3 linked regions of the Coturnix japonica genome follow. The protein of the gene in region 2 interacts with the protein of the main gene of each other region in a biochemical or structural test. Links are inferred from orthologs where the notes say so. Each region holds a gene or a part of one and is shown on either strand. Other genes may lie near its edges.

Evidence for each region.
Region 1: the proteins of MATK (region 2) and tyrosine-protein phosphatase non-receptor type substrate 1-like form a complex in vitro, tested with the Homo sapiens proteins (3 studies listed by BioGRID, with this or other methods). The link is inferred for Coturnix japonica from reciprocal best matches to the Homo sapiens genes MATK and SIRPA.
Region 3: the proteins of MATK (region 2) and LRRK1 form a complex in vitro, tested with the Homo sapiens proteins (2 studies listed by BioGRID and IntAct, with this or other methods). The link is inferred for Coturnix japonica from reciprocal best matches to the Homo sapiens genes MATK and LRRK1.

Annotation. Positions count from the first base shown.
Region 1 is NC_029535.1:9,231,886-9,236,232, reverse strand, and holds the start of tyrosine-protein phosphatase non-receptor type substrate 1-like, read right to left. Parts: upstream 2,826-4,347; 5' UTR 2,739-2,825; intron 276-2,738; exon of another isoform or gene 1-275. UniProt on the Homo sapiens protein: Immunoglobulin-like cell surface receptor for CD47. Acts as docking protein and induces translocation of PTPN6, PTPN11 and other binding partners from the cytosol to the plasma membrane.
Region 2 is NC_029543.1:406,828-411,081, reverse strand, and holds the start of MATK (megakaryocyte-associated tyrosine-protein kinase), read right to left. Parts: upstream 2,872-4,254; 5' UTR 2,312-2,871; intron 1,369-2,311; 5' UTR 1,328-1,368; coding exon 1,313-1,327; intron 1,152-1,312; coding exon 1,038-1,151; intron 945-1,037; coding exon 829-944; intron 762-828; coding exon 542-761; intron 232-541; coding exon 138-231; intron 63-137; coding exon 1-62.
Region 3 is NC_029525.1:15,890,710-15,894,300, forward strand, and holds part of LRRK1 (leucine-rich repeat serine/threonine-protein kinase 1), read left to right. Parts: intron 1-157; coding exon 158-275; intron 276-1,377; coding exon 1,378-1,494; intron 1,495-3,591.

The sequences.
Region 1 (4,347 bases), on a different chromosome or scaffold from region 2:
GCACCGCCCCTCCGCAGCGCCGCCTCCGTTGCCCTGACACCGAGAGCGGCCCCGGTAGCGGCGGGGCTCCCCGCAGCCCGGCACCGCCTGGCTCCTGGCAAAGTCGTGGGTGGGAGCTCCCCCCGGGACACCGGCAGCTGCCTTCTTAAGGTGGGCCGGAGGGAGCCCCCCCCCCCACGGAAGGATGCGGGTGAGGATGGGGCAGCTGCTGCAGCGCCCGCACGGGGTGGGATGCGGTGGCTGGAGCTGCTCCGATGGCCACGGGCAGCTCACAGCGTGGCACAAAGCCCGGTGCTGTTACGGTGGGGTTACCGGGGAAAGCACGGAGGTGGTGGGGATACACAGTGCTCCTAAATGCAGTGGGTGTTTAGTGCCATCCGAGAGAGCTCGCAGTGCCGGCAGCCAAGCCAGGAGGGCTCATGGCAGAAGCATGAGTGGCTGATTTGGAGACTCCATGTCTATCAGGGTCAGACTGAGCAAAGAGAGGACCCCAGAGCAGGTTGGAGAAGTCCTTATATCCCATCCCTGCACCAGTTCATGAGACAGACATCCCTGGTGTGTCCCCTCACCCAACAGGCTTAGCAGGAGCATCCACCATAGAGGATGGGAGCCTAAAGCGGTGATAGCATGAGGACAAGGTGACCACCATGAGAAATAGAGCTGAGGGAGAAAGCACCCATGGGATGCACATCCCTGCTGCTCCAATACAGGCTCTCCCAGGGGAGACACATCCTCCACTATCAGCTCCTGCTGCAGTTCCTCCCCATGGCACTTCAAGGCCAGGAACCATCCTGATGCCCAGCACTACACTCAGCCACACTCCCTACACCTGGGCATCACTGGCAGCTCCCAGTGCTCTACTCACTCAGGGATGGCAAACTGTCCTGCAGGCAGGAGCTGAGCAGCACCCAGCACAGGACACAACCCAAGGGCAGCAGCCATAGCCACGCTGGGACCACCACAGGCATCAGCTCCAACTCGCTCTCCAGCAGCCGCTGGGGCTGTCGGCTTTATTTAGAGCTTCACATAAACAAACAGCAAAGATAGCTGAAGTGTCTTGGCACCATCAGTCTGCACACTGCTCAGCCCGGGTGTGTTCTCTGCATTCTCATTAGTGCTGCAAGCCTCCCCCTCGGCCCTGCTGGTACAGGGGCATGACATACACCCACGTATTACAACCAGCTTTAAGTGACCTCACTTGCTCTGGACTTGGGACAGCTGTGCTGCACCCCTGCACCCTCAGAGCAGCTCCAACCATCGCTGTTCCCAGGGAGCTCCCAAGAGCCCAGCACAGCTGTTGCCTCATTTCCCCTTCCCACATCTGGCAAGCACATGAGCCAGAAGCAAGGTTTGGCTTTCGGCCTCTTACACAGGCAACGTGGTGATAAATCAGCTCTTTGCATGGGGAAAAGGAAACGGGATCGGCTACGGTTTGGTCTGTAGCACCTTGGATCCCATGTTTGGGAGTTGCACCAGCAGAGCAAGGCAAGGCGGTGGTGGGACGCAGCCCTGCCTCCAATCCAGGTTCTTTTGAAGCAGCAGCACAGCTCCTGAGGGCCCGGCTGCCTACAGCCTGTCTGGGCTGTTCTACTCAGCACTGAAGGTACAGACAAACCCATGATCACGGAGCACAGACAGCCCTATGCGCAATCAGAGCGCTTGGGAAGGAAAGTTGGAGCTTAAAAAAGCTCTGCAAGAGGAGGTACCACGGTACAGCAGATGGTGAGGCGCGAGCTTCCCGGGAAGAGCAGCTCCTGCTCTAATGTTATGGAGCATATGGGCAGTATGAGCTGCCTCCCTGCTGCCTGCAGCCCTGAGCTGGAATGCGGGGTTTGGAGAAGCCGGGCTGGGGAGCAGCCCTTGTGATGGAGGCAGAGAAACGGGAGCGTGGTGCTTTGGAGATGTGACACCATCACAAGTGGTTCCCTGTGCATGTGAGCAGGAGGCTCTGCAGCACTGTTGTGTTGTTGCACCCGTGGCAACCCCATGCTCCAGAGCACAACCCCTTCTCCAGGCTCACACTACCATATCCCAGCCCCTGGGAGCTGCTGTTGGGGGTAAGGAAGGGTTTGGGATCATTCTCCATTGCTTTGAAGCAACAACTTCCTCAAGGTGGGTCAGGGTGCACCACAGCTGGAGCATCAGCATCACCTTGAAGGGAGGATTGCAAGCAAATCTCCATATCGAGCCCAACAGCAGCATCACAGCTATCCCCATGCAGCCAGCAACCACCAACAGCACACACGTAGCACACAGGTTTGCAGGGATCCACAGAAGCTCAGAGCCACAGAGTTGTATCCTGACCCACAGCCCCACATTGGGGGCACACATCCTGTAGAACCCCCCACTGCTTCCCCCATCACCCCCAGGCTGTGGGTTCAGCCCTTGCAGGGCCCTCAGCTGAGAGAAAAGCACGCAAACATCTCCTTAAGGAGGGATTTCCAATTACACCACTGATATTTAGGGCTTCCAGCACAACAAATGGAGCTTCAGCTTCATTAGGTACCATGCCAACTTAGCCCAAGACATCCAGTACAGAAGGAGCTTAAATTAGTTTATCTGATGTTAACTTCTAACAAGCAATATGCCAACATGGGGATGGGAAGCAGCAACCTTCAGCCCGTGTGCACAAGGCAGAATGCAGATGCACCCAAGCTGGACCCTAAAAGCAACAGACACCGATAGAAGAGCAGCACAGCACAACAAATACCCACTGATGAGAGCAAAGTGCATCATACCCACTCACTGTGTGTCCTCCCTGCAGCACCCAGCTGGAAAAAGAAATAGTGTGGCACCTGGGAACCCCTTTATGCCACATTAATGAGCTGCAGGTGCTTCATTATGACCCCAGTGCAGCTGTGATGTCCATAGTAAAGCAGGATGGGGGCTGCTGGTTTCCTCCTATGGAGCCAAAATCCTTCACCTAAAACAGAGCTTGGGGTGGGGGGAGCTGCTTGTAAGAACTGCTTTGTTTATGCTTTTATGGGATGGTTTAGAACTATGCTGGGATGTTGCAGGTCCTTCCTGAGACCTCACAGTGATGAGTTGTGCTCACTGCTCCCAGTCACAGCAGGACAGACAGGGCAGGAGCCAAATTCCTAATCACAGCCCTCTCCATCCTGGCACTACTGGAGTGCTCTGCCAGGGCCAGGCGGTGCTCTTGAAGTCCATAAAGAGGTATTTATGGAGCAGTTTAGCTCTGATTGCTCGATGTGTGGAGGAAGAGGGGAGGATGTTGGTGCTGCAAATGATGCGCTGGGTGATGTTACAGGGTTTATTTATCCATGTCCCTGCAGTGCACGTGGGATGCTCCAGCCGAGAGGTGCTGGCACTGGGGTAACTCCACCAGGCTTCCTTAACACAGCCCTACACATTTCCAAGGGGGAATTCCTACCAGGCTGTGTCACAGCAGGAAAGGTGTTCTACATCCTGCCCTGGCCTGGCAGCCTGCCCTGGGAGCAGAGGGATGCTGGGTTTGGGCTGAACTGCTGCCATGGTGAGAAAAGCCAGCTGCAGGGACAGGAGCTGGTGGGGACACAATGATGTGAGCACTGGGTCGGTGTCAGCTGGTGAGCAGGGTCCTGTATCTGGCTCTGGAGGAGGCTTTGCTGTCCCATTGTGGGTGCTGAGGTCCCACAGTGCCAGGGGATGCACTGGGACTAGGTCACAAAGCAGCAGAGGGGCCAATCCTGCACCTCGTGGCTGCAGAGCTCAGGGATGCTGTGGGTGGTGATGCTGTCTGCAGCCCTGTGTGCTCAGCTCAGCAGTGACAGCACTTTGATTTTCTTCAGCTTTCTGTTGTTTGTTTCCGTATTCTCTCCGAGTTCTTTATTGATGGCAAATTGTTATCACAGAAGTGCATCCGTGGCTGCAGCAGCAGATAACGCTCGCTGTGCTCCCTGGGCCGTGGTGGCTGTACCTCAATGCTGCCCAATGAAGTCAGAGTGAGCACCAGTGGGTGTCTGTGGGGAGCCTGTTGTGTGTGTGCACTGTGTGTGTATTGCACCTGCATTGCACCTGCATGGCACAGGGCTGTGGATGCAGGGTCCCAGCTGTGCCCGGTGCCACTAAGCCCACACCTCTCAGAGAGCAATGCAGTGCTGTGGGACACCGAGGGCACTGCTGGAGCCCAGGGCAGAGCTCTTGCCCTGTGATGTGCAGGGCATGAAGTTCATTCATGGGGAGCAAAACTCAATTGTGTATAGCACAGATGAAACGCTCCAGCAATCACTGCACAGCGGCCCTTTAGCAGCGGCTCTGACCGCCGGCATTAATGATATCCACCCAATTAGCTGCTGTGCGCTCCGCATTGCCCGAAGGATTAACAAATAAAATCATCATTGCGGG
Region 2 (4,254 bases):
AAACTCTCCTTGCCCGATGCGCTCTCCCAGTGTGAGGTGCTGCAGGTTGAGCAGCCATCCAGCTGCACGGCACATGGATGGGTCAGAAGGCACCAGAGGCACCTCCTCCCCCAGAGCTGCCTCTCACCCCCTCCCACCTTTGGCCAACTCCTCCTCGGCCGACTTCATCCCGCTCTTGGCTTTGGGCTTCACCAGCTTGGTGCAGAGGGCTCCTTGCTGCTCCGTGTAGTGCTGCAGGACGGGGCAGGGGGTGCAGTCAGGGCACACAGCAATGGAGCAGCCTGTCCCCACTGAGGGGGGGACATGGAGGGGGCTGTCTGCAGAGACGCAGCAGAAGCAGCGGTAGATGAAAGGGGAAAAGGACCATCTGAAAGCAGAAGTTGTGTCTAAATGTGGAAACCATCTGGAAGCAGGAATTCCCAGAGCAGGGGCATGGAGCAGTTGTGGGTTGGGGCAGAGGCAGAACTGGAGGAAGAGCTTTCTGGAAGCGGGAGAGCCAGGGTTATATTTGGCAGCAGCCAGGGCACAGCGAGGCCCTCACCTCGATCATGTCGATGAGGTTGCAGAAGTACTGCTCGTTGTCGATGCTCAGCGTGTTGTCCTGGTGCAGCACACGGTAGTGGATCACCTCCTTGCCAAAGCTCACACACAGCACGTAGTCACCGGGGTGCCGGACCGACTCACGCACCAGGAACAGCCCGTCCTCGGGGGGCTGCAGCTCCTGCACCGCCTCCACCCCTGAGATCTTCCCATGGAACCAGCTGGGAATAGGGATGTGGGGTTGGGGGGCTGTGGGGCAAAGGACCCCCTGGAGCCGCCGGTACTCACGGCATCAGGCTGAGTTTGGGGTCAGCACGGATGGCCACACGCTCCCGCAGCGCTGCGGCCGCCAGCAGCCCCTCCTGCCCGCTCTCATTGTGCCGCACACGGTACCAACTCCTGCCCTGTGGGTGGGATGGGCTCAGAAAGGGGACACCCCACCAGGAAGGGGGTCCCGGCCCCAGCAGCACAGCCAGCCCTGCGGCCCCAGGGGTCACCTCCACAGCCTCAATGATGGTGACCACGTCTCCCTTATGGAAGGCCAGCTCGCCAGCCTTGGGCTTGGTGTGGTCGTGCTTGGTGACGCACTGCGTCCCCGCAGGCCAATGTTTCTGCAGGAAGAAGGCAGCGTCACCGGGATGCTCAGCCCGAGGTCAGCCCCAGCTGGAAGGACCGTGTGGTGACAAGGGATGGGGACAATGTCCTGGTGGATGCCCCAGCGTCACATCCCTGTGCCAGTTCAGTGCAGGAGGGGACAGTGAGCCCTGCTCACCCTGGACATGATCATCTGTCAGCGCATCAGGGACTGCTGTCTGCTCCCAGTGTCACCTGCAGAGAAGAAACCAAACAGAAACATAAAGAAATGGGGCTGAGCCACAGCCTGGTCCCCACCCCCCACCTCGCACAGCAGGGCCCGATGCCACGTGAGGCCATCGCAGCACCGTGTGGTTTTGGCAGGAACTCGCACTCTCATCTCCTGTCTGCGGCTCACAGCTGTCAGGGCCACGAGACGTGGGGCTGGGAGAGGCGCGGGGTGCTGGGCTGCAATGCAGCAGTGAGGGGCTGACTGCCCCCATGGGGTCACTGATGGGTGTCTCACATCTGCAGGGTCCCCGTTCTCCCCTGCTGTCCCAGCACAGCCCACAGTGCCCACCCAGACATTGTGCCTGGCATCACCCTGCAAGAGAATCTGGTCCTGGATGGAGCTCCACACCTTGGAGTGCCAATGACACCCATTGCTCCGTTCCTCTTTCTGCAGGTGAGTCACCATCACTCTGCGTCACTGCGCTGAGCCCCGTGACAAGGAGCAGATGTGGACCCACAGCGCCCGGCGTGGGGCAGCACTCAGCCATGGTGAGTCACACTCCTGTGGGTGCAGCTCATCCTACAGTTTGCTCCTGGGACGCCCAGCTGACAGAGATCCCATAGTCCTCAAATTTGGGGACACTCAGCCCATGGACATCCATGAGCCACGAGCACAGTGAGTGGGCAGAAAGGTGAGGATGGACTGATGGCACACAGCCACCCACTTCCCCACCGCCCCCTGCAGCGGGTGGGCACGGGTTGCTGCTCAGACCAGGGACTGCAGTGCAGCGCCCACCCTCAGTCATCCTGTGGTGCTATGAAGGGTCACTTGGTGGATGTTCATTGCAAACAGGCTGGTCTGCACTGAGCACAGTGCCTCCACCCCACACCCATCTCACCCCACACCCATCTCACCCCATACCCATCTCACCCCACACCCATCTCACCCCATACCCATCTCACTTACCCCCAGACGTGTCCATACGGGGCTGTGATGCTTTGGAGCCGTGAAGCCGTGGGGTCACTCAGCCACAGTCCTGGACAACCAACCAACTCCTCCTGCAGCGCTGTGTGATTTCCAAAGGGCGCAGGCAGAGCCGGGCGTTATTTCCTGATTTCTCTTCTGGTTACAGAGATGTGGTGTCCCAGCGGTCCTAGCGCCCGCCCGCCATCAATCATTAATCAGAACTGCCTCGTTAGTTAACGACACTCGGAGCGACTTTGGCCCTTTAGCAGCACAGGGATGCACCCACCCAGGAACCACAGCCGGGAGCTGCTATCGCTGCCCTGCAGCCATGGGGGGAGGAAGGGGATCCACCATGGTTGGTCGGTGCCAAAAGGAAAAGAGGAGACCACAGGATCACAGTTCAGTGCTTGGAAATGTCATGGCAAAATGGGAGCAAAAGGGGAAGAAAGAGAGAAAGAAGGAGAGAAAGAAAATGTGTGTTTTGGGGCAAAAATGCTTCTTTTGAGGGATTTTGTGGTGGTGTTATTTGGTTTTCAATAACGGGACCACACTGAGTATTGCTCCTTCCTTATGAATCAGAGGGTGACAACAGTTCTCCTTCTTGGCCCTAAAGCCAACCCCAACCCCAACCCCAACACAACTCCAACCCAACCCTCACCCCAACCCAACCCCAAACCCACTCCCAACCCAAACCCAGGTTCAACCCTACCCCAAACCCAGACCCAACTGAGACTCAAACCCAAACCCCAATGTCAACTCCATCCCCAACCCAACTCCAACCTCAACACCAACAACAGCTCTAAGCCAGCTCCAAACCCATTCCCAGACTTCACCCCCGCACTAACTATAATCCCAACCCCAACCCCAATGTCAACCCCATCCCCAACTCCAGCCCAAACCCTACACCAACTCTAACCCTCATCCCAGCCCTAATCCAACCCCAACTGGGAATTGGGGGATCAGGAGGGAATGGGAGGACTGGAAGGAAGTGGGAAACTGGGAGGATCTTTGGGGAATAGGTGGGAATTAACGGGGGATGGGGGGAGTTGGGGGATTGAGGGAATGATGAGGGTTGGAATTGGGGCTGTAGGGGTAAATTAGTGGGAATTGGGGGTAATTGATGGTAATTGTGGGGGTAACTGAAGCAATTAGTAGGAGCTGGGGGTAATTAATGGGATTTTGTGGGGTAATTGGTGTGGATAGGGGGTAATTGGGTGTAATTGTTGGGAACTGGGGATCAATTAGTGGGATTTAATGGGAATTGGGGATAATTAGCAGGAATCGGGTGATTAGGGTGAATTAGGGGTAAGTAGTTGGAATTGGGTAATTGGTGGCAACTGAGGGTATTTAAGGATAATTACCGGGAATTAGTGGGAATTGAGGGTGTAATTAATGGGAATCAGTGATAATTGGAGATAATTGGTGAGAATCGGTGGGAATGGGGGTGGTAATTAGTGAGGAGTATGGGTAATTTGGGGATAATTACTGAGAACTGAGAGATAATGAGTGGGAATCGGTGCTAATTAGGGGGGTAAAAATGGGGGAATTAGTGGGATTTAGTGGGAATTGGGGGGAATTCGTGGGGATCAATGACAGCTGGGGGTGATTAGGGGTAATTAGGGGCAATTAATTGGTGATTATTGCGTAACTAGGGGTAATTATTGGGTAATTAGTGGTAGTGGGGTAATAGTGGGTAATTATAGCGTCATTGTGGGGTAATTAGGGTTAAACGGTTGGAATTAATGGGTAATTAGTAGTAATTGTGTGTGTATAGGATGGGTATGGGGTCTATGGGGTAGTAATGGGGTCTATGGGGTACTTATGGGGTCTATGGGGTATAATGGGGGTCTATGGGATATAATGGGGGTCTATGGGGTATAATGGGGGTCTATGGGATATAATGGGGTCTATGGGATAGTGATGGGGTCTATGGGGTACTTATG
Region 3 (3,591 bases), on a different chromosome or scaffold from region 2:
CACCCTGAGGAAGAGCTGGGCTGTGTCTTTATGTCTTTTCCTTTATGAGAACCCTTTGGAGAGCCCTGCAGCACCGTCTGCATCACGCTGTGGCTCAGCCAGAAGTGCCCTATCACAGGTTGGAGGCTGGCTGCAGCCAATTGTTTGTTCTTTTCAGAAACTACACGGTGGTGAATCCAGAAAAAGGGGTCATAGAAGTGGAGAGGATGAGCTGCCCCGGCATGAAGCTGTGCTGCCAGCTGAAATTTCAGAACACACTCTGGGCTGCTACGGAGGTAAGGCCGTCTGTACCCTGCTCAAGTGCTCCTCCTCGCAAGGCATGGAAACCTATGGCCTCTTCAGTCAATAGAACTAAGAGTGCTGGAGACAACAGAGCTGAGCACCTGCTGCCTCATGGGGTGTTGGTGCTGCATGCTGTTTGGCTGACACTTAGAGCACGGTTGTGTCTCCTTGTGTTCAGAGCAGTCATGGGAATCTCGGCTGCCCGAGGTGAAACTGCTCCAGTTGGGGCATATCTGCACCCAGTGGTTCCGTCTGGGAAATATCCTTATCTCTGAGTGATAAATGGGAGCAGTGAAAGAAACCATGCATTGTGGGTGGGGTTGTAAAACAGGGCCGAGGGATTTGGAATCTGGTGGGAAATGGGCACCCAAGTGCAGCGTTCACCATGGAAAACCACAGCTGAAAAGATAAGAGTGGGAGAGCATGGCTGGCTTATCTCTGAGCCTGTATCCGCCCATCAGAAAGGGCTGTGTTAAGTGTCAGCCTGTTCTGCACAACCATTTGACACAAAGCAAACAAAACATAGATGAAACAAATGGGAATGTTCCCAAAGTTCAGTTTCGGGGTTGAGGGGCAGGAGGCCACGTGTGCAGAATAAGTAATCCATGTTGGTGAATTCACATGGCTGGAGTATGGAAGCTGGAATGGAGTGAAGGTGTGTATCTTTTTCCCATGTTGATAAATAAGGTATTTGACTTTTCTATCCACTCAAATTGAGGCAGGGTTCACATATTCCTTGTAACTCCAGTATTATTAGTCTGAACCGATGGGTGAATGCTAAAGAGCACAAAACGTATCTCAGTTGTCCTGACACATTCATGGTTTGTTCAGAGTTGGGGTTACCAATGCTGGTTTCAGATACACTGCTGTAACAGCTGGAGTGCTGAGTTTAGTTGGCTTTGGGTCACAGTTGGTTCTGGGGAGGGCAGCCCCCAGGTTCTACCCATAGGCTAATGGCCTCCAGAGAAAACAAAGGGAAATCCAGGCTTTGCGTAGGAAAATATACAAATAAAAACTGTTTGGGATTCAGTTATCAAAGGGTAAAAATCATGAGAAGCAAAGGAAATTCATTGAATTTGGTGTGTTCTTCCACAGGACCAGAAGATCTCAGTGTACAGGCTGCAGGGCATGTGTCCTCTGAAGGCCCCGCAGAAGGGTTTGGACTCTCCTGCTGCTGTCAGCTGCTTCCTGGTGATTCCTGTTATCAAAAAGGTATGGGGGAATCCTAGCTCCAGCTTGAGAAGGGTGTGTTAGTGAAGCCAGGCTAGAAGGCTTGTGCCACTTGTCACCAGCCAGCATCAAAGGTGTTTGCTGTGTTTGGTAGTGCAGGAAGGTGGGTTTGGCTCTTGGTGTCTCTACCAGCAGAGTGAGGGGCAGAGGTGTAGGCATGAACCTGCATCAAGGGACCGGAGCTGGCACTGCAAACTCTGCCAGGATAATAGTCCAAACAGATCAAATTCCCATGCAAGGAAGTTTTCCAGCCGTGTTTCCACATCACTGCATGGCAAGGTTTAGGCTGATCAAGCAAGGTCGAGGGGATGTGAATGAGTAATTAGTATAGAGATTTGTTAACTGTTAATGCAGGGCTTGGGTATACTCTGGCTCCTGCTCTCACTCTTTCCCTGGCACGTGTGCATGCTGTTGTTTGTGTGCACAGTATTACCTACACTTCTTTCTGGTTTTGGATGAAAATGCTTAGGTCATAAATGCAGTCTATGAGCTGCCACCTATGACTAATAAAACGCTGTATGCTATCTAGCTGGTTGTGAAACTACTACCATCCAATTACTGGCAAGAGGAATCTGACATTACTGCCTATTGCGGGCAGGGCTGAGGGATGTACAAAAACTGCTCTGGGCTAAATTACCTCCGGTTTGTCTACAGCACCTCGAGTGAAAACACATAATTATACTCCAACGTTAATGGTGACCATGAAGTTTTTGCAGATGCCAGTGGGCTGTCTAAGGCTAAAAGCTCAACACGGAGCAGCTCTCATGGCAGCCGTGGAGCTGTTTTATACCGCGTGTCTGTTCCCGTTGTTGTCCATTTCTGGCTGGTCTGCTCAGACTGCTGTCTGCATCCAGGGCGGATGGTTAGTGTAAGGTGTACCACTTGACTTCCAAACATGGTGTGAGGAGGACTGAAGAAGGGCACAGAGCTGAAGTTGGCGGAGGGACGAGTTTCAGCCGCCTCTTGGCTTTCTTTGGCTCCCACGTCTGCAGTGTTTCTCCACTGTGCAGTTTCATTTCTGACGTGTAGGGCAAATTTCTTTTTCGTGCTGCCTGAGGTTTTGTCCAGGATAGTCGAACGAGTCTTTTTGCTTTTCAGCTTTTCCACTGTCACACAGCTTGCAAAGCCATTCCTTAGGGGTTACGAGTGGCTTTATGTCTCCTGGTTTCTATTTTCAGTTTGTGGCTTGCCTAGAAAATGTCATAAATAATGCCAGGCTCTACAATAGTAATATTGAGTCTAGACACCTCCCTTCCTCCCCCGACCCTACCCAACCTTCCAGCAATCCACATCCCTTTGCTGCTCTCCTTGCTTTATTGCACTTACTTTTTCCTCTCTCCTTTCTATGAATGAATTTGGCAGTGAAACAGCCAGAGCAGCAGCCGTGGGGATGTGCAGACCAGGCTGGCAAGAAACTAAGCCATTTTTTTGAAGCAGCCAGTTCTTCCCATAAAACAAAGCGGAAAGCTTACACTTGTCAAACTCACTGTACAGCACAGCGAGTTGTATCTGAGTTATCACATGGTAATTATTGCCTGGTGCAGGGAAGAATTGCTCTCGTTTCCCTGGGTAGAAAGCCTTCAGCTGTTGAGATGTGAGGTAACTCGCAGTCAGAGAGCTGCTGAGGGATGTTGCTGGGAAGGGGAATTCTTTATGACTGCCTTGGGAAGGCTGATCCAAAAGAAACAATTTCCAAAACTCAGTTTCTCATCCAAAGGAAGCATCATGGAAACTTCAAGGCAGCAGAGAGGGGCCCAGGATCCAAATCTCACCCGCCAAGGAAAAGTTTTGTACAATTTGAGCTTTTTTGTTGTGTGGTTTCTGGGGGAGAGAGAGATGTGTATGGGTGCGAGCCTCCAGCCTCCTGCAGCAACCTGGAACAGATGAAAACAAAAGCTGCATTTAAAGGCTGCAGTACTCAGTGCCAGCAGCGCCAGACCTTGTGGGAAGGAGGGAGGAGGTGACCGAGGCCATTTTTGGTTTTAACCTGCTCCTTGTGGCCGTCCCAGCTGCTCCTGTCCTTAACCGTGAGGACAGAACGTCTGGAGCCAGCTCACCCTCTGTGCTGCCCATCACATC